4 linked regions of the Lonchura striata genome follow. The protein of the gene in region 3 interacts with the protein of the main gene of each other region in a pairwise test. Links are inferred from orthologs where the notes say so. Each region holds a gene or a part of one and is shown on either strand. Other genes may lie near its edges. The genes, in order: DISC1, TRIO, CDC5L and YWHAQ.

Region 1 (7,841 bases), about 65 Mb from region 3:
ATCTCACCCCTCTGCCTGCAGACTTCAGATTGCTCATTAAGCCACTTCACATTCTCAGCATCAATAAACAGGGAGGTAACTCCATGTCAATAGCTAATTCAATTTCCATACAGAAAACTCATGTTTTGCAAACAAAGTATATCCATAGTGGATCCTAGCTTTCTCAGCATCAGTAGCTTGCAGGCTTGATATTTCTCCCTGAAAGCATTTTGCAGGTAAGCTTTTAATGGAATCCACACCTGTATGGTAAAGGAGAAGAAAAAAATTACATGGTGTGTTAAATAGTTAACACTACACAGAATTAAGGAAACACCTTCAAGAAAGGATACTACCATGCTTAAAATAGGAACAGCAGCCTTTGTTCAGTGCCAGAGGGCCAAGTTTTTCCTCGTGTGACTGCTGGTTTACAAAGGGCACATTCATTCCGAATACATAAGGGTTTTGCAGCAGTTTTCCTCCAAGAATATTGAACAGTATTACAACATACCCTGGGTTCAATCCTAATCTAAGCGACACGGCATGAAAGGGCCGTTTTCCGGAAAGAGACACAAGATACTAAGGATGAACTTGGAAATCACTATGGCAACTCCGCAGGTCCCTTCCCCTTCACCTTGGGGGCCAATACTCCAAAGGAGGTAAGAAAACCACTTTCCGCAGGAATCATTAATACACAATATGGCCAAAAGCAGGAAAGGTCACAGCCTGTCTCCGCTCAGTTAGAAAGAGGGGTTCGCTCAAGGAAAGACAAGGTTAAAATGGGAAAAGAAAAAACCATAACTCCCGAGGAGCGCTCGTGAGGTGCCACACACTCGAGTAAATCGCGCTTGAAAGGTCAGCTGGTTCAGTAGCTGTCAAAGGCCCAAGCTACGGCGAGCAAAATAAGCCTAACCAAGTGTGCCTAATTTGTGAACAAAGTCAGAATTAACCTTTAGGGTTTTCGCTTTTGTCAGTACAAAACATTGTTTGCAGTGCTTTCTGTCCACCTGTTCATCACAATTAATTTATCCTGGTGCTAATAAATCCCCTTTTCTTACACAAACCCACTACAATTCCACCAGAAGCAGCTTAGGCCCAAAGTTTTGACTTCACTTTACTGAAGAGAACAAAGGATGATTTATCTTAATTTAAAGAGGGAGGAAGCCAGTGGCAATACAATACCTGCCTCTGACTGTTTTTTAGAGTGCTGCTGCACTATAACCTTCAATGTTGTGCATGAGAATGTGCCATTTTTGGTGCCCAATCTCAAAGAGAGCTATAAAAAAAATTGATAATTCTGATAGTATCAAATACTGGGAAGGAAAAAAAAGACATATTAGATATGGTCGTAACCTCAAGTATACTAAACATTGCACATAAACATTTGGTGGTTCTTGTACATTCATTTCCCATGATCCCAATATTTTAAGTAATCACAAATCTCTAACCTCAGCCATTTTTTTTTCTTTTAAAACAAATATTTCTGTTAAACACCCCTACTTTGCAGTTTCCTAAGGGCCTAGAAGCCCTATGAATAGGGCTTCAACTGGAAAACTGTCAATGCCTTCCCAGAGTGAACCACAACAATTTCACCTTCAGCAATGAGATGGGGAAACATACAACATCATTAAAGGGACTTTAGTATTTAAACACCAAGAAATTTTTTAATAAGTAGAACTCCTCCCGTTTTTAGGAGCTACTCTAAGGCCAATAGCAAATTAGCAAGTAAATGAACCAATACAAAAGGATAAAACAAAAGATAATGCATCCTAGGGGACTTCACTAATTTCTCTGAAAACCACCATTACCTCTAATTGGCAGCAGCACTTGCTGCTATACATTCTGCAACATATTTTATGAAAACCTTTATTATAAAACCTTCTCTGCAGAACTTTAAAATGCTAGCATAATTAATTCAAAAGCTTAGCAAGAAGTTACTCAAGCACGTGTACACAAAGATTAATGTGGATTACCAAAACAGGAATGAGCCATTTTGTATTAAACTGATGGCAAGGATGACTGTAGTGTTTGCAGAAAAGTCTTGGTGGACTCGTGGAGCTGGGAGAACCTCGTACCCCAAATAACCCAAAAGGCAGCAGACATACCTAGTGAGAAATACACCTTTCTTTCCCACTTGTCCTGAGAAAGGTGAAGTGTTTTTTTTTCCAGAATTTCCCAGGGGCTCCAGCCTTTTGCCAGCACCACTGTTGATAAGGAGGGCAGCCCTAGCTTTGACCAGCTGATTGCTGCTGCTCTAAGAAAAAAGGAGAGCAGTTCATCCACCTTATAGGTGATGGTCTTGTAAACTTCATTTCTTTATAAAAGCATATACACACAGAGTGTCCCCTGAGAAGGAAGTTTTCTTTTTCTTCCTTAAGCCAAGACTGTAGACATAACGTGGGTGACTTTTCGAGGAGCACCATTACTTCCCACTTTGTAGTTGGTTATTTAAAAAAATTAAACAAATAAACCATAGCAAATAAACCATCGATGTCTTCCTATCACTATAACTGCGGGCTGAAGTGAAATCAAAGCATCTTATTTTTTGAGTTAAAAAACGATAGCTACGTTATCTCAAAGTCACAAGACCCTTTATTTTACCCTCTCTTAGACTGCATTAACTGTGAAATAAAGCCAACACCACCAGGGGCTTAAAAGATTAAAAAAAAAAAAACAAAAAAAAAAACTAAAGAAATTCTAAAACTTTCAGACTGTGAAATGAAAGATCCGGGTTGTTGTTTTTGTTTTTTTACCGAGAAGGATTAAAAAAAAAAAAAAAAAAGTACATTTTCAGTACATTTTCCCCATACCCAACACGAGGGCGACTCCCCAGAGCTGCTGCTGCTGCTCCCAGCCCGGGGGCAGCATCCAGCCGAGCCGCGCGGTCCCTGCAGCGGGGAGCAGCGCTGCCGGCCCGGCCCCGGCAGGGGCACCCACGGCCCCGCGCGTCCGGGGCTCCTGCGGAGCTCGGCGGCCGGACCCCGCCGCCTCCCGCCTCCCGCGGGGCCCGGCCCCGCTCACCTGCGCCCGCCGCGTCCCCGCCGCCGCCGCGGCGCCGCCTGTCGGTACCGCCCGGCCCGGGCTGCGGCCGCCACATCCCGCCCGGCCCGCAGCCGGCGGAAAGCGGCCCCGGCCCGGCCACTCCCCGCCGGGGGCGGGCTCGAGGCAGCTCCGCCGCCCCGGGGAAGGAGAGGGCGGCGGGCGGGACCGGCTCCGGCTCCGGAGGGCGGCGCGGCGCGGTGCGGTGCGGCGCGGCTGGTCGCACGCACAGCCCCAGGGAGCCCGGTCCTCCAGGCTCCCGCCCGCGCAGCGGTCTCAGGCTGTGCAGGCTCTGTTCCCGCAGGGCAAAGATGGGCGGGAGAGGAAACGGGGAATCACAGAATCGGTCAGATTCTGACCACAGCGGTCCAGGCTCCCTGCTCAAGCAGGGTCATCGTAGAGAACATGGCACAGAATTGCGTCCAGATGGTTCTTGAGTATCCCAGTGAGGGAGACTTCACAACGTCTTCGCACAATCTGTTCCTGTGCCCGCAGAGTGAAGTAGTTCTTCCTGATACTCAAGTGGAATTTCCTGTGCTTTGGTTTCGGCCCATTGCTTCTTGTCCTATCACTCGGCACCACCGAGAAGAACCTGGCTCTGTCCTCTTGGCACCCTCCCTTCAGATACTTAAAAACATGGATGAATTGTCCCCTCTCTGTTATCTCTCTTGAGGCTGAACAGGTTCAGCTCCCTCAGCCTCTCTCAGCCTCTCTCTGGAGCATCATAGGGGAGATGCTCCAGTCCCTTACTCATCTCTGTATCCCTCCACTGATATGCTCCAGGAGCTTCATGTTTTTCTTGTACTGAGGAGCCCAGAACTGGACACAACACTCCAGATGCGCCTCCCCAGGGCTCATTAGAGGGGCAGGATACCCTCCCTTGACCTGCTGGCAATATTCTTCCTAATGCATCCCAGGATTCCATCAGTCTTCTTGTCCATGTGGGTGTGGGCATGTCTCACGAACAGCTTGTTGTCCACCAGGACCTTCAGGTCCTTCTCCATGAGCTCAGATGGAGTTTCTTTCCATCAGCCCCTCACCCATACCTTGGGTTATTCACTCCAAGTGAAAGACACAACCTATGCTACACATAAAAATATATGGCTTCCATCTCACAGGTCCCAGCATAACAACAAATATATGTACCAAATATACTCTATACCAAACATACTCTTGGAAAAGAATTTATTTTCAGGTTTAGGCATACTAGGCATTGCTTGGTCTCAGAGCCATCATGTGACTGTGAGCCCTACTCTGGCACTGCTTTGCATGTCAGATACTGAATTTAGCAAGGCATGTGTGCAGTTATTATTGCATTCATTGGCTTGAAGTAGCCATAAACATCTTGCAAGCAGGACTTAAAGGGATGCTAAAAAAGTTTGCAGATGATCCAAAATTGGGAGGAGCTGTCAACTCCCTTGAAGGCTGGAAAGCCCTGCAGAGAGACCGTGACAAATCAGAGGGCCGGGCAATCACCAACCATATGAAGTTCAACCAGGGAAAGTGCTGTACTCCACACCTGGGATGGAGCAACCCTGGATGTATGGACAGACTGGGGAATTAGGTGCTGGAAGGCAATGCCATGGAAAGGGACCTGGAGGTCCTGGTTGATGACAAGTTGAACATGAGCCAGCAGTCTTGTGTGAGTGCTGGGCACTACAATAAAACAATGATATAAAATGCTTAGAGAGTGTCCAGAGGAGAGCAACAACGATGATGAAGGTCCTTGAGGGGAAGACATATGAGGAGTGGCTGAGGACACTTTGTTCAGCCTGGAGAAAAGGAGGCTGAAGGGAGACCTCACTGCAGCTACAGCTCCCTTGTGAGGGGAAGAGGAGGAACAGGCACTGATCTCTTCTCTGTGGTGACAGTGACAGGACATGAGGGAATGGCCTGAAGTTGTGTCAGGGGAGGTTTAGGCTGAATATTAGGAAAAAATTCTTCACCAAGAGGGTCTTTGGGCACCGGAACAGACTCCCCAGGGAAGTGGTCACAGCATCAGCATGACAGAGTTCAAGAAGCATTTGGACAACACTCTCAGGCACATGATGTGATTCTTGGGACTGTCCTGTGCAGGGCCAGAAGCTGGACTTGATGACCCTTGTAGGTCCCTTCCAACTCAGAATATTGTGTGATATTGTGAATATTATGTATGTATTTTCACTGTTTTTGTAGGGCTCCAGATAATTTATGTCACAGAGCTTTTTCATTTTGTTGAGAGGTACCAACTTTTATATATATATATGTATGGGGTTTTGTTGGTACAGAGGCAATGACGAGAATCAGGGATGTTTTAGCTGAGCAGTGCTTACACTGCTTCTTGAACTGCCCTGCCAGTGAGCAGGCTGGGGTATACAAGAAGATGGGAAGGGACACAGCTGGGACACCCTGACAACAACCCAAGGGATATTCCAAACCATATGTCCACATGATGTCATGCCCAACAATAACAGTTGGGGGAAGGAGGAGGAAGAGAGTACATTCAAATTTATGGCATTTTTCTTCCAAATTCACTGTTATGCATGATGTAGCCTTGGTTTCCTGGGGATGACTGAATGCCTGCCTGCCCACCCATGGGAAGTGGTAAAGAATTCCTTGTTACATATCATTGTAATAACAGGCATTTCTGCTAAAATCCCCTTTCCTGTTTTGTAATTTAGGTAAGTTTAGTCCTCCACCATTTCCAGTGTATCTTCTCCTCCCTAGTTAACACATATATCATCTTTTGCTATCCCTGGTATTTCTCTACTGACAGTTTTATTTCTATTGTTATTCTTAATTATGAGCTTTATACAAGCTTATGAGTACCCACTGACTACAGCTTTTATTAACTTTGCTAAAGTGGTACCTGCTTCACTCACAGATCATCATATCCACCATATTAATCATGTACATGAAATCAATGTTTTCCAGACGGCCTCCATCCATCCTAGCCTTCAAGAATGCTTCTTCCTTCTCAGATGCAGGAAATGCAATTGTAAGTTAACTACACAAGGAAGTTTTCACAACATTCAGAAAAGCTGCTAAAAAAACCGGGTTTATATAACAACTGTCATAATACTGATTTTCTCTAGTTTGAGTCCATTAACTAAGAAATACAGGACATGCTAAGAGAGTTTTGACCTCTTGCTCCAGTCTGTGCCCTTCCTGACTTGTGAGAGAAGACAACAAGCAGCTGTGCCTTACATGCCAAAAATAGCCACCCATCCTTCTTCATCCTTCAGCCTTGCTGCAGTGCATCTGATTCAGGTGATGTCAGTGCTGGTTCCCATCATTCAGAAAGAAACTGGTTGTAAAAGGCAGCTCTGTGGGTGCAGACAAAGGGCCCATCTAGCACAGCCTTGCTCCCAGCTCAAAGCCAGGGCAGCTCTCTCAGCAAGAGCAGGAACAAGGAAGAGCAGGAACAAGACAGCACCCACAGCACTTCCCCTTTGGACTGTGCCACCCTCCTCTGATCAATGTGTGCTCAGGGGGTTCCTCAGCTCAGTGAGGTTTGTTGAGTCAGTAGCCTGCTGTGGTTCCCAGGCTCTCCAAGGGTTTGCCCAGCTCCACCTTGAGCCTGCTTCAGCTTTTGACCCACAGAGCATCCACGAGTCAGGGGCTGCCCAAGGCACCAGCTCTTACTCTGAGCCTGGCTATGGCTCCCTGCCGTTGTGAGCTCCTGGATTTTTGTGCTTGAAAAAATATTTTTTCCCAAAGCATCTGTGCCTCCGATGATTTCCTGTGTTAACTCATAATGTAGTCCATTTTCCAAACTGTGCAGTGCTAAACTAGTCAGACTGATCTAGTACACAGTCCCTCTATAATTTTTTTCTGTTTCTGCTTTCTGGGGTGAAGGGACTAAGTAAGGTTTGCTATGGATTTCTGCAGTGGCATCTTCATGTTTCCAGTTCTGTTCTGTGTTCCTTCACAAATGGTCTGTAACATTTGATTGAGTGCAGCCACACACTTAACTGATGTTTTCTGATATGTAATTAGTGCCACAGTTTCCTTCTCAGTGGCGGTGGTAATTTCAGAGCTTTTCATCTTATATGAGAGGCTAGGAATTTTTCTTCCTGGTAGGTGCTGATTCAATTCACACAGTGAATTTCATCTGTGGTTTGATTGCCCACAAGGCAACCTCACGAGGTCCAAGTTCTTTGCATCCAGCTCTTGTTCATGCTGCTTCAAGTAACTCAGCATCATCAGCAGACTTGTTTCAGATGCTTATATGGTGAACAGGAGGGGGTCAAGAGACACTAGTCATCACAAAGCTACCAAAAGGTACATAGTCTCAAAACAAATATTTAAAAGAAACAGGGCATGAGATGTACTCAGGAAAAAAAAACCCTGCTAGTGAGTTATTTGCATTTGTTCTGAATCTACTGGGAGACTTAAAGTTTATCCCAAACCTCACCACTTCTGCTTCAGGTGAGCTTGCCTTATCTCGTGTGTACTCACATCAGCGTGTATATGTAACAAAAAAGTCCCACCACAATAGAATACTCAGCAGACTGTAATTCATTACCTCAGACGACAAGCAGGAGTAGGTGTGAATATGTGTGAGTGTGTACACAGAACATGACATTCTGTTCCTTTATCCAGAAAGGAACTGCTTTTCGACAACCATGATCATTCAATTGCCACATCAGTGGAAAGGAGTTGCAGGGGGATGGAGGATAGTTTTACTGAGAACTTTAAGTATAACTGGAGAAAAAGGTGCAGGTACCCTTCTGAAGCAAATGCTAGTAGGGGAGAATAGTATCCTTGGGTTTTAATGCTGTTTTAATTGTACCCTAACCTAATTATAACCACAACCCAAAGTCTGATCCAAATGTCATAGTGAG
Region 2 (7,495 bases), on a different chromosome or scaffold from region 3:
CTACTGACCAATTTAACCAACCCAAGATTAGAACTGATTGTTTAGGCAGGCTTTTTGTTGTTGTTTTTTTTTTTTTCTTTTCCCTCCTGGAAAACACTGCAATATTTTTACTCATTTTCTCTTTTAAATAACAGCTAGAGCTTTGCTAATATTCTCTGCAAGTGACAGGAAAAAAGAAACATTTGTCATTGTAAATTCTGTAAAGAGAAAAATATTTTGTCTGCTCCTAAATGCGCTAAAGTTTTTTCCTTGCTCATTGATCTCTGCGCCCTTTGTGTTCCACTGGAAAAAAAAAAAAAAAGTGCCTGTTGTTCAAACAAAGGGAAGCACCAGAGATCTCTTAATAGACCCTCTCCTTATAGAAGAGTGGATCATGCACAGAGGCAGAATTCAAAGAGCTCTTCTCAATGCCAAACACACATAGGAGATGCCAGAACATTTTCCAGTGTATGTTAGAGCCCAGGCTGGACAAGATAACCTTCACACATAAATATGGAAATGAGAATGCCAGTTGTCAAATATGATCTAAGAGTTTTTTGATAAGCATGTCCTTCTACTTTAAGATTTTCAGATGTTTCAAGACTGAGCTCAATGCAACTTCTCTGTTATCAGAAGTTATCAGCATCAGAAGTGATCACTGCACCACTTGTGAGCTTACTAGCTGTAGCATCCCTCAACCCACACATAAATGCGGAAGTTGATTATTAATACAGCTGGCAGGGTCTTCCAAAACTGCAAGATTACTACACAAGCACCCATTTGTAACTACACTAGGCAGACTACTGTGTGTAAGCCTACTGTTTTAATTTGTCATTTTGCTTTCATCGGGATTTCTTCCTGGGAACGATAAAGCTCAGTCCTTTTTCCATTATAAAACCCACCAAGGCCAGCATCCTGACAAGGAGTTTCACACTCCATGGCTTGTCGTGTTAAACAGGTTGCCTCGGGAGCATCAAGCCCTCCAGAGGGGACACAGCCCCCTGTTGGACCCTCTATCCACATAAATGCAGCTTCCAGCCCTGCTTCAAGGATGCCTGCTAGAAATCACACTTCCTCCTTCACCCTCATGAAATCAAACACACCGAACGCAAGTAGCACTGATTACGCCGCTCCCCACTTCCCTCGCGGACTTTCCTTAAAAACCCAGTGAACACAGATTTTCCTACTATTATTACTACTGCCATAATTATTTTTTATACACGAAATCGGCCAACCCCCTCATCTTTCCCGCGGTGAGTCCGCATTTCCCTTGCTCGCCGCTCCTTTTTAGGCACCCAAAAAGAGCAAATGCCCAGCCCAGCCCGGCTGCTCCGCCCGGAGCGATGGCCGGGGGCTGCCCTGGGGGCGCGGAGCCGCCGGAGGAGCGGACGGAGGGGAGGAGCCGCCGCCGCTCGGGGGGAGCAGCAGGCACGGGGGGAGGCTCCGTAGCCGCCGCCGCCCAGGCTGCCGGCAGGGCTCCGTCCCCGCCGACCGGCGGTCCGTGCGGCCCGGGCAGTGCTACCTTCCCCGCCGCTATGCCCCGGGGGACAGGGTCTCGGCGGCGGGCGCAGCCGTCCTTCCCGCCCGGTTGCGTGCCGAGAGTAAACACCGAGGGAAAAGGCAGCCTCCATTTTTTTTCATCCCGGCAGCCTGTCAACAGGCTCCCACCCTTCCCCTCCCGATCCTCCGCGCCGAGCCCGGCTTCCCAGCCCGACAGCGCCCGAGAGCCGCTGCCTCCCCGCCTCAGCCGAGGGAGCGACACCCCTTAACACGAGCTTCGCTTTTTGTCTGCCTCTTTTGGTTCTCCTTAGAACATCCACTTTCCGTGCCGCTTCTCCCATCCCTGCCCTGCGCCGCCACCCAGCAGCACACCACCGGAGGAGCGCTGCCTTTTATAGCGGTGTCATCCTTGCTTGCTCGCCGGCCTCCCCGGGGGGTCCGGCTGGCACAACCGGCTCCCCGCAGCCCTGCGGCCCCGCGCACCCTTTCCGCCCCTCCGACACCATGGACTTCCCGGATCGGAGCAGCTCCTCTACCCGCCTCCCGCCCCGCAACCCCCAGCGGGACATTTTCGGGGGACTCGGGTCCCTGGCGCTGGGTGGTGCCGCCCGGCCCCGGTGACGCGCCCGCTACCGGGCCGGCACGGGAGGCAGAATCGCACCTGTCACCGGCGACACCGCCCCGGGGCGGCAGCAGCCCCGCACCCTCCCGGCCGGGCCGCACCGCCGCCGCCTCCGTTTTCACGCCCCGGTTCCGCCGGCGAGGGTGGCATCCCGCCCGCAAGTTGCTGTACCTAAGCCCCACTGTCCTCGGCACGGGACGGGGGGTGCTCGGCTCTCTTCCCTGCGTCCTCCCCAAGGAACAGACGGGCAGTGCCGAGGCGGCCCCGGCGGCGAGAAGCAGACGAGCCTTCCCCGAGGCCACCTGACAAAGCCGGCTGCCCTGTCCTCCTTTCCCGGCTCCGGGGGAAAGACGTCGCCTCCCCAGGGCCACCTTTCGCCTCTACTTCCAGCCGCTGGCCCTACTTCCCTGTTCCCCCAGGACAGGACCGCACTCACCGGATCGGAAGAACGCCGCGATGTCCGCTGAGTCCTTGGCCGCCTCCTCGGCCCCTTCCCCCGCGCCGCTGCCGGCCGTGCTGGCGGCGGAGGTGGCGGTAGCGGCACTGCTCATGGCTGCTGCTGCTGCTGCGTGTGCCGGCGGCGGTGGTTTTACCGGGCGAGACCCGCCACCGACCCCGCCGCCCCCTCCGCAGATCCCGGCTTCACCTCCGGGCGGGAGCGGCCGTCAGGGCGGCAGCCGGATCGGGCGAGCAATGCGGGGCGGCGGCGGGCGGCCGCAGCGAGCGCAGGGACATATGAAGGTATGTGCGGAATGGCAGCTCCGGGAGCGCCCACCCCCCGCAGCCACCTAGGAGGCGGCGTGTGCATGCAGGGAGTCCGGGCGGCAGCCGGAGCGCAGACAATCGCGGGAGGAGGAGGAGGAGGAGGAGGAGAAGAAGGAGGAGGAGAGCGACGACGACGACGACGGCATGGGAAGGGCCAGCGGTCCGCGCACAGAGCAGCCAGTGGGCGGAGAAAAAAAAAAAAAAAAGGAACGTTTCCAACCTTTTTTTTTTTTTCCCTTTTCTCTTTTCTTTTCTTTTTTTTTTTTTTTTTTTTTTAAAGGAGCGAGTAGTGATCCAGAGGAGCAGCACCTGCCCTAGCCACCGCGAAGCCAGAGACCGCAGCAACCGCCGTCCTCCATTTTGACTGGGTGGAGGAAGAGGGTGGGAAGGGGGAGTCGGGAAAGGAAGCGAGTCCCCGCCCGAGGAACAAGGGCGGTGGAGCAGGGAGCGGGGGGAGCTCGGGAGTCTCCGGCTGCGTCCGGCACCGGTCGGGATGGGGCGGGGCCGGGCGGCGCAGTCCGTCACGCTCCCGCCGGGCCCGCGCCCCGCGGCTGGGCCGCAGCGCCCGGGGCTGCCCGGCGGCGCCGCGGCCCGCTCGGGTTTCTGCGTTTGTCCTTCGGGTTTGGGGTCTCTTTTTGTTTGGTTGGGGTTTTTTTTTAGGTGCTTCCGGCTAACCTTCGCCCTACTGCCAGCTCGCCGGTACGCGAAGGTCGGAGTGGAAGTCCAAAAAAAAAAAAAAAAAAAAAAATTAACCAAAAGGAACCTAAGCAAATGCATTCCGTCTGGCCCGGGGCCACGGGCGAGCGGCGGGAGCGTGGGAAGCGGCGCGTGTCCCATGCTGCTGCCTGCCCTCCCTGGGCTCCCGGGGCCTCCGAGGAGCCGTCCTCGGGGAGAGACCCCCTGCCCGCGGTCGGAAGGAGCCTGGCTTACCTCTGGAAAACACAGAGAAAAAGGGATGCGTAGATTTCTTTAAAAAGGTGCCTTTAAAAGGTTTCCGTTACATTGCTGTCTGTATTGTCGATATTTTTTACTTCTGTTACCACGGGGACACGTCAAAAGATTTTATGATGTGGACCGGTTCAATTAATAGCAAATAAGCAAACAGCTCATGATAGGGAGGTTATGATGTGCCTCACCACCATCCTGCTTTTCATGTTCAGGAAGTATAAGTTCGTGTCCAGATAAGGTTGAGGAGAGGGTGTCAGAGCAGGAATCATAGCAGTTGCACAGATTGATGAATTCGAGTTACGCGTCTCAAATGCTTATGGCAAATGGTAAATCGATAGCACACTTGAAATGCAGATGTACTGCTTCAGGAATTAAACTGCGAACCTTTGGTAAGTATTAAAAGGAAGGTAAGTTCAAGAGAAATGTGGTTCATAGAATATCCTGAGTTGGAAGTGTGTTGCAAGGATCATCCTATGATCCTGCACAGGATCACCCCCCGAGAACTCCACATGTGCCTGAGAACATTGTCCAAACACTTCTTCAACTCCAGCAGGCTGTGGGTTATGAACACCTCCCTGGGGAGCCTGTTCCAGTGCCCAAACAGCCTCTGGGAGAAAAATCATTTACGAATGCCCAACCTAAACCTCCCCTGGCACAGCTTCATGTCCTTCCCTTGGAAGGAACCTCAGTCTGGACGGGTTGTGTACTTTCCATTTCCAGTTAGTTGCTCTTCTAGCACACTGTACAAATTCTAAGTGTGCACTAAAAAGGCAAGGTTAATTTGAACACTTCTGAAGGATGTGTGACTCAAGTTTTTCCCTTCCTTTGTCCCCTCCATCTGCTGAATTGCAAGAGATGCTGGGTTTGCTTTTTTCTTAGTACATGGGTGCCCTGAGCCATGTTCCCCACTACAGGAGCCTTTCATCACTGTGAAAGTGATTGAGAAGAAGTTGTAATCAACAACGAAGGTGGCCCTCACAGAAAAATCCTTCAAGAGCCAAAAAATGCTCATAGCTCATATCCTTTGCATGATTCATAAGATTATAGTAATACATACATGCTAATGTTCAGGATGCAATATTTATTGAAGGGTAAGTTAAAGGAAAGAGACAAATATAGGAAAATGACAAAGTTACTTAACACTCTAATAAAACAAGGATTTAATTAACAGTTATGCACCTTAAGTATCAAATACCAGATTTAATATTTTGACATCAGGAAATTAAGTTTCTTAGTTTGGTTCTTCTTCGCCATTTTAGGCTTCAAACAAAAACAAACTAGATATGAATTGTCTATATGGAGAATGTCCCACATTGGAAATTTGTGTGAATTTGAAAGCCTGTCATTAGGAAATAGCCATATTCTCCTCAATTCCTGCATTGCTTATCTCAGTTTTTGTCAGCCTGCAAGTGTTTTTTCACCAATTGCAATGGTAAATGCAGGAATGGAAAAAATATTCATGGTGTAAAACATACTTTAGCGGTAATGTGACCTGTGAAATACCAATAGTGTTAAGGCACAGATTCAAGTTAGAGTTTTAGATTGTATACTAGGAGTTTTAAATATTAATGGTGTTCAAGTATTGTGCTTAATTTCTCTATTTTATGTGTGTATATAAAGCATTTAATTTTATGTAAGCATATTCAAAAAAATTTATACCCCAATACAATAAATGCCCAAAGAAAAGTGTTGTTTCATTTTAATGCCCTTTATTTTTACTTGTGTTGTGTCTAACTGTGCTTGAATGGTCACTCCGAAATCAGAATGCCAAACACAAAAACTTTATTCCCGTCAAAGAGGTGTCTTGTGACGGGAAGAGCTTGCCCAGAGCCTAGCCTTGTGTTTCCAGGCTGAGAAGTGTCACATGTCACTTCATGTTTCATCCCTAAAAGAATTTGCAGACTTGATATTTCTTGAGTTCTTTTCCTGCAGTATTTGCTGCCCATTTGATCAAGAAAACAAAGAACAGAGATTCCCCTATTTCTATAAGACATTAATGAAAGCAGGACAAGCTTGATTTAAAAATCACTTATATTTACAAGCTTCAGAGAAGTAAACTAGAAACTCACTAGTTTGGACAAGCTAGGAGACAGGAGATGGTATTGACCTGGGACTGTCAATCGTAATTGTCTTCCTGCTTAGAAAAAGATATTTCAACTGTGAAAAAAAAAATCAAAAATGCACGCCTACAAAACCCAGCCAACAACTAGATTTTTACAGTGGAGTTATCTTCTTGTAGCTGTTTTACAAGCTTCACTATTCATTTTGTAAACAAAAACAGAACATAGAGGGTAGTGTGGGGACAAGCCTTCTACATGGAAAACACTCAAAGGGAAAATGCATATGGACTTCAGCCCCGCCAGCCTCTAAGAACTGTTTCTTGCAACCTTTACTTTTCTGCAGCAGGGTTTTGGGGGATTCAAACCTATAAAACAAGTTATAAACACAACAAGTAATAGAGAAGGCCATATCCGGTGCTGCTGTGCTTTTAGGATGATAAGACTTATTTCAAATTTGCAGCAGTTAAGGAAAGCAATCGAGTTATTAATGTGCACCACCTTGGAGTTGCTGTCTGGTTTCTGATCTAAATGGTGTTTGCATTATAGCAACATTCATCAATTTCAAATTGTTCTCAGAGCACATGGTGTATCTCTTCATCTGTAGACAGGCACTGAGGCATTTTCCAACCGTTATTGTTATTATTTCCCTCTTTTCCACAGAAGCATCTAAGTCTTTTTAAAAGGTTGTCTTGAACAGTATAAAGTTTGTGTTCCACTTCCTTATCCTATAAAATTAAGTTCTCATTTCATTGTATGAGTCCTGGCAGCTTTTGGAACTTTGTTTATTCGTAATTTTTTCTATTTTTCTCCAAAAATATATTTTTTTAGCAGATGATATACCTATCACCTATGTAAAGTATTGTCAGTCTAATTTAAAATATTTTGTCCATACTCTCCCTGGTACAACCTGGCATGTACAAGTTTGAGAAGTGAGCCATGGTAATCTCATTAAGTTTAGCAAGACAAAGTACAAGGTGCTGCTGTTCAGTATCAACCCAGGCTGGGGATGAACAGATCCAGAGCAACCCTGCCCAGAAGGACCTGGGAGTGCTGGAGAGGCTGGACATGACCCATCAATGTGCTCTCACAGCCCAGAAATTCAACTGTGTCCTGGGCTGCATGCAAAGCAGCATGGGCAGCAGGGCCAGGGAGGGGATTCTGCCCCTGTGCTCTGTTCTGCTCTGCTGAGACCCACCTGGAGTGCTGTATCCAGATCTGGCGTCCCAGCATAAGAAGGACATGGCCTGTCAGAGTGAGTATAGAGGAGGGATACAATGATTATTAGAGGGGTGGAGCACCTCTCCTATGAGAAAAGGCTGAGAGAGTTGTGTTTGTTCAGCCTGGGAAAGAAAAGGCTTCACATAACCTAAATGGGGCCTTCCAACACCTGAAAGAAGCCCATAAGAAAGATGGAGAGACACTTTTTACAGGAGCAGAGTGACAGGACAAAGGGGAGTGGTTTCAAACTTCAACAAGAATAGATTTAGATTAGATATGAGGAAGGAATTCTTTACTGTAAGGATGGTGAGACACTGGAACAGGCTGGCCATGGAAGTCATTGATACTCCATCCCTGGAAGTGTTTAGGGTCAGCTTGGTGGAGCTCTGAACAACGTGGTCTA
Region 3 (7,926 bases):
CTGTCCCAGAGGAAGCAGCATAACACAGCGTAACACTGCTACTTCTGTTCCATTTTATTCTCAAGAAAAATAAGGATTTGTATTTCAAAGGTCAATGAAATCTGTAAAATTAAATAAAATAGACACATAAATTATTGTTCCAAACTTCATATACCTAACAGAATTTCCCAAATTATTATTTTCAATGCTCTCTAATGCACTGGTGTTTAAAGGCTCTGTATGTCTTCACTGAAGGACAGCAACAGAGGTAAGGAAGTGTTTGGTAAGACATCACAATACGAAAAAAAAAGTAGAATTGGCAGGCATCTCTGGCTGCCTTGTTTAAACAATACCATAAAATTATCTATTTTTCATATTTTAATGCAATTGGAATAAAAATGGAATAGATCGGCTTGGGAGCCAGGTTGTTCATATACAACAAAATGTGCACTGAGTTTGATCACAAGCCAGAAGTGCCAATTCTCGGTCCATCCATCCATCAATCCTTCTCTCCCTTCCTTGATAGATGGGTTCATTATTTCTGGTTTATTCAGAGGAAGTGGTATTTTAAATACATGAAAGCTGTTCTTACAGCCCTGTCAACCACAGATGTCCCTCTCCTGTACCCAGTGAATGTTCAGTGAGTCTCACACTATCTCCACTGACACCACCCAGAGAACAACAGCTTTAACTGTGCGCTTATGATCAGCTCTTGATCTGGCTTGAGCTGCTGCAGGCAACAATTCATGTGACTACTGTTCTGACATAAATAATAAATCCTCTCCTGTGTGTTTTTTTTTTAAACTTACTTGGTGCTCTATGGCACACAGGAGCTGTACTGGTGACATTAACAGGCTTTTTTTGCATGTAATGGGTCATTTTATGAATGATTTGGTATCACCTGATTTCCCTTTCTCTGTCTTTAATGCTGTATGTATAATCAAAATGTTAAAAAAAAAATCCAACACCTCTTTTATCTCTGGTACACAAAGCCTGGTGAACTGAGGATCTATTTGGCCACTGAAACAGCTCCTCAGGGCAGTAGCCACAGCCTTAAGCCTGGCAGAGTTCAAGCAGCATTTGGACAATGCTCTCAGGCACAGGGTGGGATTGCTGGGGATGTTGTGTGCAGGAGCCAGACTTGATGGTCCTCGTGGGTCCCTTCCCACCCAGGATATTCTGTGATTCCATTTAATGCACCACTCCTCACCAAAATGTATCAAGTATGGAAGAATGGGGTGAAGATATGAATTTTCCTGTCCTCTGCTGATCCCAAATTTAGCTGCTTCCTGGCACATCACTGATATAGCACAGGTGTTTAAAAGCACATACAGCACATTTTATCTTCTATTACTTTTTCCTCACTGCTTCCTGGAACCACGTACATGCCTGGTGCTCACACTATGCAGTGAGAATTCTGTATTTTACAGTGCTAGGTACATCCTTTTGCTTTAAACATGCATCTAATAAAACTGACATCCTTGATTTCCCATGTTATTGATTTCTTTTTCATGACCACTTGTGGTTCTGAAAGCTTGTGACAGCAAAATTGGAGGGGATTGTTCTTTTTTGGAACAGTAATTTCTGTGCACAGGATTCCTGGGGCTGCAGATGAAGAGCCCACACACATTGACAAGAAACAGACTGAAGCTGCACCAGGGGTTTAGATTAGTTATTAGGATGTTTTTTTTCTTCCCATGGAAATGGTGACAGGCTGCTCAGGGCAATACTGGAGTCACCATTCCTGGAACTGATTAAAAACCCATGTAGATGTAGCATTTAAGGACAGGTTAAATGGTGTACATGGTGGTGGTGCTGGGTTGATGGTGGCCACTTGGTGTTCTTAAGCTTTTTCCAATCCTAAAACTTGTATGACTCTGCCTTTGCCATTTTCGTATTTTTAAATATCTTTAAGGGCAAGAGATTCCTGCTGCTTCATTCCCACAGAGCACAAGGAACGTGCCTATGCAGCACAAGTCACACTCTAGCCTGCGAGCGGGACATCTCCAAGCACTGCACAGCCCCTGCTTCCTCTCCAGTAGCAGTGGGAACAGTTCTCTGGGGCATAAGGACACAACACACACATTGCTGAGCTTCCCAATCTGGTGAACAGCCCGAGGGAAAAACAGCACCAATGTGAACTCGTGACCTTTGCCCACTGAAGCAGCAGGAACAAGGCACAGGTTACTGGGGAATGCAGCCCAACAGAGAGCCAGGGATCACAGAATCGGTTAGGTTGGAAAAGGCCTCTCAGATCACTGAGCTTAATCAACATCTTATCACCACCATGTCAACGAGACCACAGCACTCAGTGCCACATCCAGTCTTTCCTTAAACTGGAAGAACTTAACCTTCAGAGACAGTGACTCCATCAGCTCCCTGGGCAGCTCATTCCAATACTCAATCACCCTTTCCTGTGAAGAATTCTTCCTAACGTCCAACCTAAACCTCTCCTGGTGCACTTTGAGGCCATGTCCTCTTGTCCTGTTGCCTGGGAGCAGAGCCTGACCCCCATCCCGCTGCGCCCTCCTGTCGGGGAGTGGTGGAGAGGCAGAAGATCCATCTCTGAGCCTCCTTTTCTGCAGGCTGAGTCCGTCCAGCTCCCTCAGCTGTTCCTCGTGAGCCCTGTGCTCCGTTCCCTTCCCTGCGCTGGCCCCTGCCGAGCCCAGACCCGCTGATGTCCGGGCACAGCGCTGCACAGCCCCGACCCCACCGCGGCACCCCCAACACTGAGCCCCCGCGCAGGCGCACCACGACACCCGCCCCTCCCGCGCCTGCGCACCAGCGAGGGTCCCCCCCCCACCTGCCCGGCCCTGAGGGGGACGAGGGCTCGAACCCCGCCGAGTCTCACCTCGGTGTTCCGCCACACGCCGCCTTTAATCATAATCCGCGGCATCTTGGCGGCGAATGGAGGCGGGGACGGACCCCTGGAGCGAGAGAATGGAGAGGGAGCGGAAGCGCCACTGGCGTCAGCGGGGCCGGCCGAGACGGCGCACGGTCGCCCTCAGCGGCGGCGGGTGCCGAGGGCGAGGGAAGCGAGGCCAGCTGTCAAAAAAGCTGCTCTGTCAGAAAAGCGGGGAGCGGGTCGGGCGGCTTTCCCAGGGAAGCGGGACTGGCGGATTTTGCAATGGAAGTGAGGCCGCTACTCCTCCAGGGAAGCGGGTCCGGCCGCGCCGCGCATGCGCAGCCCCCGCGTGGCCCGAGGCGGCCCTTCGCGCTAGCGCCCCCTGCCGGCCGGAGGAGCACACGGCGGAGGAGCCCGGCCGTCATTAAACTCTTCAAATTGCCTCGTCAAGGGACGCAGGTGAGGGAGGAAAGGGACAGTGGAAGGAAATCACATTTCCCCAGCGTTCCCAAGGTATTTTATTAATTTCAGGAAATAGACCCATGCTTTTTCCTGAAATTAATAACTTCTTGGTTGTGAGGGTGGTGAGGCCTTGGCAAAGGCTGCCCAGAGAAGCTGTGGCTGCCCCATCCCTGGTGGTGTTCAAGGCCAGGTTGGACAGGGCTTGGAGCAGCCTGGGATCGTGGAAGTTGTCCATGCCCATGGCAAGGGGTAGAATGAGATAATCTTTAAGGTGGCGATGCAAAACTATTCTATGATTCTACAAGAGAGCAACATTGATGGTGCATTTGCATGTTAACACTCACATACACACTAAAGGAAATGTATACAAGGTACATACCTGAATTTGGGGAATTTTCATAGTGAGGTACTCATGTCACTCTCAGCAGGTGAAGGGTTGAGTCTCAAGGAGTAGGGATCTCGGCTCAGGATCTGTCACTGTCCCTCAGCTGTGGCCCTCCAGGCATCTCCAGCCTGGAGCTGTGTGGCTCAGAGAAAGCCACACTCAGAGGGAGGTGCTGCTCCCAGCCTGCTGCAGTCTGGAGGGCTCAGAGGCTCTCAAATACCACTGCTTAGAGAGTCACAACAGACTTGACTTTGCTCATAGCAATTTTCCACCCTGGCTGCAACTCAGATTGGTAACTTTCTCTGAAAGTTCAAAACCAAAAACGTTGTTCCACCTGGGTGGTTATTTGGATAAGAAAAATAAGTTCCCAAAGGCTCTTAAAACCCACGGAGCACTTCAGCTGACACAAGTTCCTGGGAGCAGACAGTGTTTTGGATAAGCTCAAGAGGAGCTCGGCTCAGCTTGTCAAGGTCAAGCCCTAACGAGCATTTCTGAGACCACAGTGTGGCCCAAACAGGAGGATGCACCACCACACCATACAGATCTGACTCACTATTGTTCATTTACATCACCTCCAGTTTAACTTGTATTCATTTAATTAGCAGATGCACAGCAGGTAAAATGACAGCCTTTTACTCAATTTGTCTTGTTATATTTCCCTGTTTTGTCCAAATTCAGGATATATTAATGGAGCAAATTATGAAACTTTTTTGGTTTAAATAGAAAACTTGTGATTTAGGAAAGGCTTTGATTTTTGTTTAAACTGCAGGAATAAAAAATACTACACTTCTAGCTACCAAAAAAAAAAAAAAAAAAAACCCAAACCAAAAAAAACTACCAACAACAGCCCATGTCTTCTTTGCAACTGAATATGCCTCAACCTGTAAATTTCATTGACTTAGCAGACTGAGAATACCTTTGAAACCCCAAAAATCCAATGCAGCACATAAGGAACAGAAAGCAACATCAGGAGTCATTGAAGTGCTTATTTTTATTAGAGGCAGTGACTGGGAATAATTAACTTTTATAAGATCAATCTCTTAACTAAAAATACCTTCTTGTTATTACTTAAAACGAAGTAACTCAGATTTACAAACTCTTTCAAAAATTTACTGCAGTTATCCACCTAAACCAGGCTCTTTTGATCATCATTGTACACTATGCTTTTCAACAGTGTTCAATCGTATTTAGCCCTTCTAGTCTCATCTGATATAGAGGCTTACAATTCCTTCAGTATTTTTGTTTTCTCTTTGTACTGCTCTTTTCAAATAAATGATCAGAATTGTAATGTAACACATGTAAAAACATCTCCAAGTTTGAGTAATCATTAAGATTTCCTAGAAATGCTTTTCTTTCTTAATACAGGATAACATTCTTTCTCACAACTGGATTAGGTGGCTCCAAGGTCTAAATCACTTATCTGTAACCACCATGGTTCAAGCACAGATACTTGTCTGACTTTACTGAAGCTGCAAAGAACTGGATCACTTGAACATCTTTGCTGATATGGCCTTAAATAAATCTGTCCATGAGTTTCATTATTGGAAAATTGCCTTCCAAATTGCAGAATGGCTGGACGGGTTCTGGAAGACAAGACCCTAGAAGATGCCCTATTCAGGAAATTAATCTACAGGAGAAGCCTAACACACAGGCAAGATTCACAGATATTATGCTACAAGGGTTATTCATGTATTTGGAAAGAATGCTGTAGCTGTTCTCATTTACAATATTTAGTATGCTTGACAGATATTTGCAATTCAGAATATATAAGTGAAATAGAGAAAAAATTTAACATGCTAGAAATCCATTTGGATTCGGGTAAAATGTGCCACTTGAAATTATTAGTAGCTTGCTAGCATAAGTAAAATATGCTGTTTAGTCTGGTAGCTCTGCAGCACTAGTAAAAACTGCCCCAGCTGAGGAGAAAGAATGCGAATTTCCAACTGAAGAGATAAGAGAGGCTCCTCGAACTTTGAAACAGACAAGGCAGACTCACCCAAGAGTTCTTTCTGTACTTTCTGATTAAAAAAAAAGCTGCAAGGGTAACTAGCTGCAAGAGTAATGCAAAATCAGTAGAATGAATATACATAAACCTATGGTGAAACTATGCATATGTATACTAGTAAAGAAGAATAAAAAGGGATTGAGAATTCTCAAGGGCACACGTGTCTTTTGAAGGGGAATGATCCCCATAATGCAATAACACCACCAGATTTTCAACCTTTACAAGTTGTGAAGCTTGAGTTTTTATGCCAATTCCTAAGTTTATCAATGTATGTATAGACATGCATGGAAATATACACACATTCTACTACAGAATTCTGTAATCCCGGACACCCAGAGCTGGCTGTCCAGGATTACATCCAGATGGCTTTTCAGTATCTGACAAGAAGGGAACTCCACTGCATCTCTGGACAGCCCTTCCCAACCTGTCTCCTATGATACCAGAAAGCCTCTACAAGATATTATCTGTATTTCTACAGAAAGACACACATCCAGAAGCAGAAAAAAAAAAAAAAGGCACTGAATCCCATACTTACATTCTCTCTAAATTAAACCACAGGTTTGTTCTGCTGCTCCATGGACTGAGCTGTAGCATTGGGACAGTTTGCACCAGGCCTTTGCTGTTTTATTTCCTCACACAAGGGGATAACACACTGTTAATAAAAGCACTTAACCACACTCAAGAGTTCCTAGCACTGGGTAACTCCAAAACAAACAAAGATTTGTCTAGATTTGAATATAAATTGGAAGCAGCATCCATCTGGGTTCACCATACACTGGACCACCTGCTGTGTAGTGTACTAGCTCTTATACACGGTATTTTAGACTAAGAGTAAAGTTCTTAAAATAATTTTAGTTTCAGATACTGCTAAGGTTTTTAATGAAACTAAACAGCAACTGCTAACTGAAGTTATTTGAAAAGCATATAATTTAACAATAACAACCAACACAGTAACTACCAACCTGAGAAAAGGTAAGGCATTTCATACTAGATTAACATTGGACATTCAAATAAAATTGAAGATTTAAAGATTCCCAGTATCATAAAATAGATGTTTCTGGACATTACCATTTCTGCCAGATTACTCAAAAAATTATCAAAATTACAGACAACAGCTTAATAAGCATCTTATACATACAGATACATGTAAAACATTTTAATGTCACAATTACCCAGTGAGGACATGCATATTTTGTTTCTGTAATTTGGAGAGATACTATTTTTTTCCTCTTACAAGTATTGCAAAATCACCTGGGAGTAAAGGAGGCAACTTTCAGCAGATGGGAGGTAGCATTTAGCCTCCAGATACACCAATAGTTTTCACATGAAAAGTTATTACTACAAAATATGTTTTTCCTTCCCTCCCGTTACACATTCTTTCAGTTAGTAAAGAGTTTTTCTTACTAAATTTTTACAAGAAAATAAGTGGTGCAGAATAACTCCTTAAACAAAAATGAACACTGGCCAAAATAACTGACCTCTACTGAAGCAGTTACTCAGGGATGAAAAAGTGTCTCCAAGATCTCCAGCACAGCCTGTGCTAGAATTGATGTTCCCACAAACACCTGCAGCAAACCAGTACCCCAAGTTTCACTCTCTTGACCAAAATGCTGGATGCATCCATTACCAACCACTGTTCTGGGCACAGCAAAGGAACATAAAACCATGAAGAAATTCAGGCCATGCAAACCTGGCCAAAACCAAGCATCAACTTCCAATTCTCAACCTGACATCCCAACCTTGTGCTGCTGCTTATGCTTCTCCAGCAGTTTTTTGGTGGGCAGCACCACATTACACTCTGCACACCTGTACTTCTTTTTGTGTGTTTTTATGTGCCTTTGGAAAGCGTGTTTATCCACCGTGGAATACCTGCATCTCCTGCAGTGCAGCCTGAGGTGGGTCAGGAAGTGGCGCCTGAGGTGGCTGGAGGTGCGGAAAGCCAGGGAGCACTGCCCACACTGGAACGGCTTCTCCCCCGTGTGGATCCTCAGGTGGAGCTTCAGGTTCCCATTGTGGGCTGTGCAATAGCCACACTCCTCACACCTGTATGTCTTGACAGGCAGCTCCTTGTGCTCGTAGAGGCAGCCAGGAGAGGAGGTTCCCTCCCCGGTGTGCGAAGCCAGGTGCTGCTTCAAGGACAGCCATTTGTTGGTTGAGTAGTCACAGCTCATGCACTTGAAATGCCCCAAGTTCAAATGTGTGAGTCTGTGCCTTTTGAGGTGACTGGAGGTACGGAACTTCTTCTGACAA
Region 4 (7,777 bases), about 10 Mb from region 3:
TATACATCACCTTCTCCAAGGCACTCAATTTGGTAAAAGGACAAAGGGAGATTAAGAAATCTGAAGTGAGAGCTTTATATGGAGGTCCCAAGAAGTTAGTTCTGAAGTGGGGCACTGAGTAGAGAAAGAAGAGTGACACAAATGCTGGCACTTCAACACAGGCGTCCAGTGAAACTCTTGTCAGAGGAAGTAGGAATCCTACAGAAGTATTACTTTCACAAAGGTGAAAGTCTTACAATTTCAATACACCTTTTGAAACAATTTTGTTCTTGCGGAAGGCATGGGCTCAAATGTGTTAAGGAATTAACTGATTCATAAAGCTAATAAATATGAAAATTATTTTCAAAGAAAGACAACTCACTTTGATTAAAAAAGAACAAACCTAGATGGCAGCATACAAGGAAGCATATAGGTATTTTCAGCACAGTCCAAAGAAGCATTCCCTTGTATGTGAGCCAAAACACTTAATCAAGAAGAAAATCAGTTACTTCCAAACCAGTCACCTTTAAATTCACATCTCCTAAACAAATCTAGAATAAGTTTACCTCAAAATTGTTTATTTCCTTATAGACTTGCTTCCTCCTGGTCTCACATTAGCAATACTAGACACCAGAAAAAGGTAACTAAGAGGAGCAAATCAACCACTGAAGATGATCTGCCCACAGAATTACTATTGCATTATGCACGTGCAGTTTTTTTCAGATATCATTCCCTGGTCATGTAAAACTGGGTCCAGCAGCCTCCACACTGCAGACACACATCTCATGAGCTCCCACTGCAGTGCACTACAGTTTTCCTACCAACAGCACCTGGAATTCTGCTGCTTCCACAGAAATGTACTTCTGTGTTTGATGCATGCTTAGGATGTCATTCTGGTCTTTACACCTTAGTTTTACATTGCTCCGTAATTACTGCAAAACCATCTCAAAGCTACCCTGAGAAGTCAGCTTGCATCTAACAAAGACAATTTCTACATGTCACTTTCTCCCCTTCAATATAGATGTCTAAGTTTGAAAAGTTAAATTTATGTTAAAGCATTCATCAAAATGTCTCTTGAAGACCCCTTTAGAGTATTTCTCTTCATCAGGAAGTAAACAAAATGCATACATGGCTTCAATGTTTGTAGCAAGTTATTAGCTGATCTAAATAAAGGGCTTTCCACATTTTCAGTTTATCTTATGAATATGTTTACTAACCACAGCACAGAGGCTGTATCTCTGCAATTACCTGGTGAAATACTCCATATGGATCTCTCCACCCAAAAACGTACCTCATAGACACTCAAAATTAACTATCTCAAATACCTCTACAAATATAGCGTCAACAGCATAGTGCAGCTGATCCTCCTCATTGCAGTGACCCACGTAAGGGTTGCAGAAGTTACGGTACTGACCTCACCTACCCCAGCACAACACTGCATGATATGCCCCAAGCAAGTTCCCAATGCTTCCTCCAGTACAGCAGCACACTTAAACACTGTATTTTTTTACCTTAAACAAAATATAAGAAAAAACAAAGTCCTGACTTACCAGCACCGTGGTGCAGATGGACCTGAGCTCAGATTCCACCTTCTCCCGATAGTCCTTGATAAGCTGCATCTTCTTGTCACTGGTGTCTGTCTTCTGCTCGATGCTGGAGATGACCCTCCAGGCCGAGCGCCGCCCCCCCACCACGTTCTTGTAGGCCACGGAGAGCAGGTTGCGCTCCTCGTTGGACAGCTCGGCACCTTGCTCCGTTACTGCCTTCATGCAGGTGGCCATGTCATCGTAGCGCTCGGCTTGCTCAGCCAGCTTGGCTTTCTGGATCAACTCGGTCTTATCCATGGTGGCTGGCAGTGGGACAAGAGCAGTGCAGTAGCAGAAGAAGCTGGAGATGTCACACTATCAGGACGAGAATGCACCTCAAAACCTGACAGAAAGAAGACAGCAACCATGATGCCAGGATAAACACCACCAAACACGATCCTGCAGCACCCACTGCAACCCAGCAAAAACGAGAATTACTTTGAGCCTTGCCGTCCCTTCCCCATCTCCAGGTGCTCCTCCTGGACAGACGGACTGCAACATCCTGCCTTTCCATGCAAGGCTACGGGGACGCGCCCCAAGGGTCCACCCCTCGGGAAACCACGACCTAGAAACCCAGGCGGAGAAGTCGCACTCGGTCGGTGCTATACAAGGGACGGCAGCCAGCCGCCCAAGCAGTGGCAACAGCTGTTTTTCCATCAGAAAAAAGTCATCATCCCGCTTTTCCTTCGTGCCCTACGTGAGCATATTAATATGCCCCGTAACTCGTGGAATGATTCCTGGTTACCACCCCGCCTAGGGCCCTCGCCCAAATCCCTGCCTCCGTGTGCTACCAGTCCTGCGGGCGAGCACCGGAGGCAGGCGGGCATGAATGCCAGGACTGGCGGGAACAAATACATAATAAAAGCAGCAAGACGAGCTCGGCGCCGGAGAACACAGCAGGGGTTAAACCCCTCCAGGACCCGCCTCCCTGGGGGCGAGCGGGGCCGGGGCCGCGAGGCCGGCGAGGGGGCCCTGGGCGCTTCTCCTTCCCGCGGCGGGGCGCGGTGGACCCGGGCCTCCCTGTCGGCCTCGGCGGCCGCCGATCCGGACCCCGGCGCGGCGGGGGCCCCGCGCTGCCGGCGGGGAGCGCGGCGGCTCCCGGTACACGGCGGCGGGTGCGGTCTCGGGCTCAGCAGCCGCATCTCCTGCGCCGGCGGGGGGCGCGGGGGCGGCCGGCGGAGTCCCCGTGGCGACGGGGCGGGAAGAGGAAGCGGCGGCGGGTGCGAAATGGCGGCGCTGGATGCACCTCCCGCTCCCCGGGGCCGCCGAGCTCTCCACGCCGCGATCACAAAATGGAGGACGCGGCGGGAGGAAGCAGCGGAGCGGGGCCCATCCCGACGCCGGCCGCGACCCCGCGCTCACCTGGGTCCGCCGGGCTGTGGGGCCGGGCCGCACCCGGTCGGTGCCGCGCTCGGGGCTGTGGCGGAGAGAAAGAGCCGCTCCCGTCTCGGCCGAGCCAGCGCTGAAGGGCGTTGGCGCGCGCACAAACCCGCTGCGCGGCCCGCGCCCACGCGGCCAATCGCGGCCCGGCCTGCGCGCCCGGCCCCGCCCCCCCGCGCGCCGCCGGCCAATCAGAGAGGAGCGCGCCGCCGCGGGGGCGAGCGCGGGCAGGGCGCGAGCTCGGCTGGGCCCGTGGGCTGCGGCTGGGGCCACGGGGTTTCCTCCAATGAGATCCAGGGTGGGGTGACGTCACTGTCGCCATGGTGACGCCGCTACACCCCCCTTCGCCCCCCCCCGCCGCCGCTCCCCCCGCTCGGCACCCGGGACCGGGAAGGGGAAGGGAGCGGGGATGGGGGAGGCGGCGGGAGGGCCCCGGCCGGGGCGGTGCCCCTGCCGGCGGCGGGGCGGGAGCGGGGGGCGAGGCGGTGCCCGCGGCCGCACCACGGCGGCTGTTGTTCCGCCCGCGGGCGGCCGCGCCCTCGGGCCGCCGCTCCCCGCCGCGCCGGCGGCAGCTCCCGCAGGAGCGGGCGGCGAGCCCGGCCCTGCCCGGCCGGCCCCGCGGCGGCTCGGGCGCGGCAGGGCCGGGAGCGGCCGTGCGGTCCGTCCGTCCGGAGCGGGCCGGGCCGAGTCCGGGCGCTGCCGCCGCCGCCGGGCGCCGCGGGCCGGCGGGGCCCAGGACGGGCACTGCGGGGCTTCGTGTTCCCGAGTCCGTGTTCCCGCAGCCCCACGTGGCTGAAGATAGCATTTCCCACAAGCTCTCAGTATATTTGCTTGTTTTCATCCTCTTGATTTCACCTTAATTCTCTAGAGGTCAGCCCGTGCTATGACATACAGTAGTGGCATGTTACCCACCCGTGTCTGGATAAAGGTAAGGCACCTACGGCCACATGTAGGTCCAGAACGTTGGCTGAGTAGATGCATGACTTGTGTGCACTCACGCTGACTGAGCCTCAGAGGATGTGCTAAGGACACGGTGGGTTTGTGTTGTTGGTATTGCCGTACAAAACAGGTCAAATGCATCTGGTGAATCAGGGCTCAGGCGAGGTCAGGTCCTCCAATGTCTGCAGTACCAGGTCTGTGTGTCAAGAGATGACATTTCTCACCTTTCTTTTCAGCATCACCAAATATAGTCATACTGAGGAATTTCAACATCCAGATGGGATGAGGAATTCTCTGAATCAATCCCAGGATGTTACTGTCTCAACTTATAAAGCTTTTGGTATGTGTTTGGACTAGTACTAGGACTATGTGTATGGAAATTTGAGCTATACTATGAACAAGACACTTTTCTTTGTCATTTGAGTTTGGGAAACATTGATTTATTAAAAAAAAATAGAACTAATGATAAAAATATTTTCAAATTTAATGAAACTGAGAAACCACTCTGGATCTCCCTCGGAAGTTACCTCTTGGCAACTTGCTATAGTTTTAGGATGCCCATTTATTCTTGTTAGTAGGATATGTTTGCAATTACATTAGTCCCTTATAATTATCTTCATTTACATGAAGTAAAGACCAAAGCTGACCAATAGTGTAACAAAACCTTTTTTATTAACACCATGTCTTTATCAACTAACCATTCCACTTTTAAGGCACAGGTGAGTGTGTTTTATTTGAGGAAAGACACTGACCTGATTGAGGCTACTTCCTTCACTGCTTCACCTCAAAGAAAAGGGGAAGATATTGAGAATTACCCTCATAACATTTAGTTCCTGTCTCTCTTCCACCTATTGAGAGGGTGCATTAAGAAATACAGAACTAAGTCAAGAGTTGGGAAGTACTAAGCAGAGCAGTTTGCACAGAGCAGTGTGATGGATGCAGACTGAATTCCATGTGTGATGCAGAGTCTGATGTATGTGTGCATAGCAGCTGTGTGGCCTGTGTGTGTCTGGCTTCAAACCCCCTCTGTGCTCCTTGCTTTTCAGGCTTGGGTCTTGTGGGCTAACATGCCATAAGATTGCCCAGCAATGTAGATTTTAATCATACAGCCATAAGCTTATTTCCCCAGAAGAATCCTATTGCTGATTAGGAATGTTGTCCTTTGGGGAGCTTTTCAGAGAAGGGACTTGAAGGATATGTTGTGTTTAGATTAGAAAAATGAAGAGGAGATTTTATATTTTCTCAAAAGAGTAAATGGCATGGATGTAGAATTGTTTTTTAAATTGAAGACAAATGTGTGTAAAATGGTCAGTAATGAATTTAGACTGTGACTTAGAAGATTTGGAATTTTCAGAGCAATGAGGCCATGAGACAGTTTCCCTGTGCTGAGGGCAGGAAGCCCATTCGCTTAGAAAGCAGAGTCTGATGAGTTTATAAAAGTGCTTATGTGATTGCACATAAGCAGTTGCCTGGGATAGCAGGAGAGTAAGCTCCAGAAGCTTTCCAAATTTGTGTTTCTTTTATTGCTTATTACATATTCTTATACATGCTTAGTCCATGTGTACTTTAATGTACAGTTTACTGCATAACATTATCCTTTATTGAATTAAAAAACCTAATTTCCTGTAGAGCATTTCAGGAGTGCTATAATCTTACTGACCATTAAGGACTTTACCCTTGTCACCACTATGAAATGGCTGGCCTTATTCTGTCTTGGGTGCAGGAAATTAAAAATATGAACACTTCTGGTTACCTATATGAAGAAATCTAAGCTTAATTTCCCAGGTGGTAAATATCGTATCAAAGACTTTCATTTCCAGGGTGGTAGATGCTTTATGCTACTTTGCATGTAGAGAAAGTCCACCTCCCACTGACTTCAGATGCACCTACTCACATTCAGCATCTTAGCAGCTCACACCACAAATTACTCAACTGGGGTGTGGGAGAAAAATAAAGAATATATATAATGCAAATTCCTCAGACTTACATGTGAACTTTACAACAGAGTTAGAAGACAGTTTTCTAGAGCCTCTGTTATTTGCTATAAGACTTTTCTTGCTTTTTCTCAGCAGAAACAACCCCAATCAAATGCTTTCCATCTCTACAGCAAAGGAGGTTGAGATGGTACAGTCAGGAACTTCCTTCCTGCTGTCTGTACAACAGGTACACAACAGCTCAAAGTGGCATCTCACAAAGCAAACATACAGCACTGTGAATGAAGCTAAACAAGCAAAGAACCCCCAAAAGCAGACTTCTGTCACGGGATTTACCTAGAATACCACTGAACAACAGTGTGAGTGAGCCTTTTGGATACGCAGCATGGTCCTGAACTATGCAAAACAGTCCTGTCATGAGTAACAGTAGAAAAACTTACTCATTTTGTGTCCTGTCTTGAGTGGGATGGAGATCCTGTACAATTAGTCTCGTGTCTGTTCACTTAATGGCAAGAGAACATATTTTATGTTTATTAAGGCCCTGTGTTCTGGTGGTTAAGGTCTCTTTTGCTCCCATACTCTTCCTGTAATCTTCTCCTTATTATCAGCCCCCTAATTTACATCCCATCTCATCCCCTTCTGATTCCTGTCTTCTGCTCAACTCCTGTCTGTACACTTGTTCTCCTGCTGTCATTCTTTCTGTATCTGTACCCTCTGCTCTTCCTTTGTTCCAACTTTTACTAAAACTTTGGGGGACAGAAGAAGACTTGCTTAGGGGGCCTAGACATTTAGTAGTCCTTTATGAGAGCTGGAGTTTTAAGGAAATTCTGCAGGTAAATTTTAATATGTCATCTGAGGGTATTAAAATTGAGTTTTTTCTTTATGTTTTCCATGTTTGGTTAGTTTTCCATGAAACCAGCATAAGATTTAACTTCCATTTGCCCAACTTCTTGAAGAATTTAAAGGTGCCACTTGGTTGCAGGTGTTGGAATTTTTTGATAAGCAAATTGTAATAAAGTGTGTCATCCTGGACAAAACTGGAATTCTCTCTGATTTTCTCTGTGAGAAATAGCTAAACCATTCTAGCTAAAACATGAAAAACATTTTAAGTGTGTTCATATAGACTGATGTGTATTTAAGCCTTTGGAGAGGAACTGAACCAGTGGCCATGACTCTTCTAGATAAAACTTAAATTTACTTAAATTTGTTTATCTTGCACTTGGTTGGGGGACTTAGGAATGAAAGGATAAGATCTCTTGTTATCCTTGTATTTTTTTCTCATATCTAAAAAGTGCTAGAGCGTAGCATGAGTGCTCTTACATTAAAAATAGAAAGCCATTCATGTAAGAGGCTAAAGCATCATCAGAGTTCAGTTAAGTGACAAATAAATGTGAGTCAGTGGGATCAAGCTCTTTAAAAACTAGCCTCATTCCATATTCTGTCTGTTCTGTGCTGTGAGGAGGCCACAGGACTTCTTAAATTTTTGAAAATACTTGCATGGCTTGCTCATTGCTGGTGTAAACTAATTGCTCCAGAGAACAAGCCTCTGAAGGTGTTGATGAATGTGGAGCTATTGCTGGGTGCTGTTTTATGCAAACAGTTTTCTTCTGCTGGGAGGAGAGGAATCAAGGAGTACTTGGGTTAGGATGATGACTGTCAGTGTGGGAGGGTGGTACTGAACCTCAGTTTTGCTGCTGAGTGCCATTTTTCTGGTTTAAGTGGCTTCAAGATAAGTGTATCTCCATGCTGGGAGCAGTTTGGTCATTGCTTGTAAAGGATGGTATTGATTAATATTGATACCTGCTGCAAGGTAAATGTTGCTGTAGTCTGATGTGCTGAGGCAGCTACTGATCATGGTTGATAGGAGTGTCTCAGCTTTTGTCTGACACTCTCTTCCCTCCTACCATTTCAGTAACTGCTGTTAGATTCCATGCCTCTTTTTGGGAGGTGCAGTATCTA

The links.
Region 1: the proteins of CDC5L (region 3) and DISC1 interact in a two-hybrid assay, tested with the Homo sapiens proteins (2 studies listed by BioGRID and IntAct). The link is inferred for Lonchura striata from reciprocal best matches to the Homo sapiens genes CDC5L and DISC1.
Region 2: the proteins of CDC5L (region 3) and TRIO interact in a two-hybrid assay, tested with the Homo sapiens proteins (2 studies listed by BioGRID and IntAct). The link is inferred for Lonchura striata from reciprocal best matches to the Homo sapiens genes CDC5L and TRIO.
Region 4: the proteins of CDC5L (region 3) and YWHAQ interact in a two-hybrid assay, tested with the Homo sapiens proteins (2 studies listed by BioGRID and IntAct). The link is inferred for Lonchura striata from reciprocal best matches to the Homo sapiens genes CDC5L and YWHAQ.

Annotation. Positions count from the first base shown.
Region 1 is NC_134605.1:43,738,050-43,745,890, reverse strand, and holds the start of DISC1 (disrupted in schizophrenia 1 protein), read right to left. Parts: upstream 3,101-7,841; 5' UTR 3,074-3,100; coding exon 2,998-3,073; intron 2,165-2,997; exon of another isoform or gene 2,082-2,164; intron 1-2,081. UniProt on the Homo sapiens protein: Involved in the regulation of multiple aspects of embryonic and adult neurogenesis. Required for neural progenitor proliferation in the ventrical/subventrical zone during embryonic brain development and in the adult dentate gyrus of the hippocampus.
Region 2 is NC_134603.1:73,726,355-73,733,849, reverse strand, and holds the start of TRIO (triple functional domain protein), read right to left. Parts: upstream 3,061-7,495; 5' UTR 2,653-3,060; coding exon 2,538-2,652; intron 1-2,537. UniProt on the Homo sapiens protein: Guanine nucleotide exchange factor (GEF) for RHOA and RAC1 GTPases. Involved in coordinating actin remodeling, which is necessary for cell migration and growth. Plays a key role in the regulation of neurite outgrowth and lamellipodia formation.
Region 3 is NC_134605.1:109,086,067-109,093,992, forward strand, and holds the start of CDC5L (cell division cycle 5-like protein), read right to left. Parts: upstream 3,169-7,926; 5' UTR 2,876-3,168; coding exon 2,831-2,875; intron 1-2,830. Other genes in the region: uncharacterized protein LOC110468941, read right to left, coding at 7,398-7,926.
Region 4 is NC_134605.1:98,813,316-98,821,092, forward strand, and holds the start of YWHAQ (14-3-3 protein theta), read right to left. Parts: upstream 3,073-7,777; 5' UTR 2,928-3,072; intron 1,909-2,927; 5' UTR 1,824-1,908; coding exon 1,530-1,823; intron 1-1,529. UniProt on the Homo sapiens protein: Adapter protein implicated in the regulation of a large spectrum of both general and specialized signaling pathways. Binds to a large number of partners, usually by recognition of a phosphoserine or phosphothreonine motif.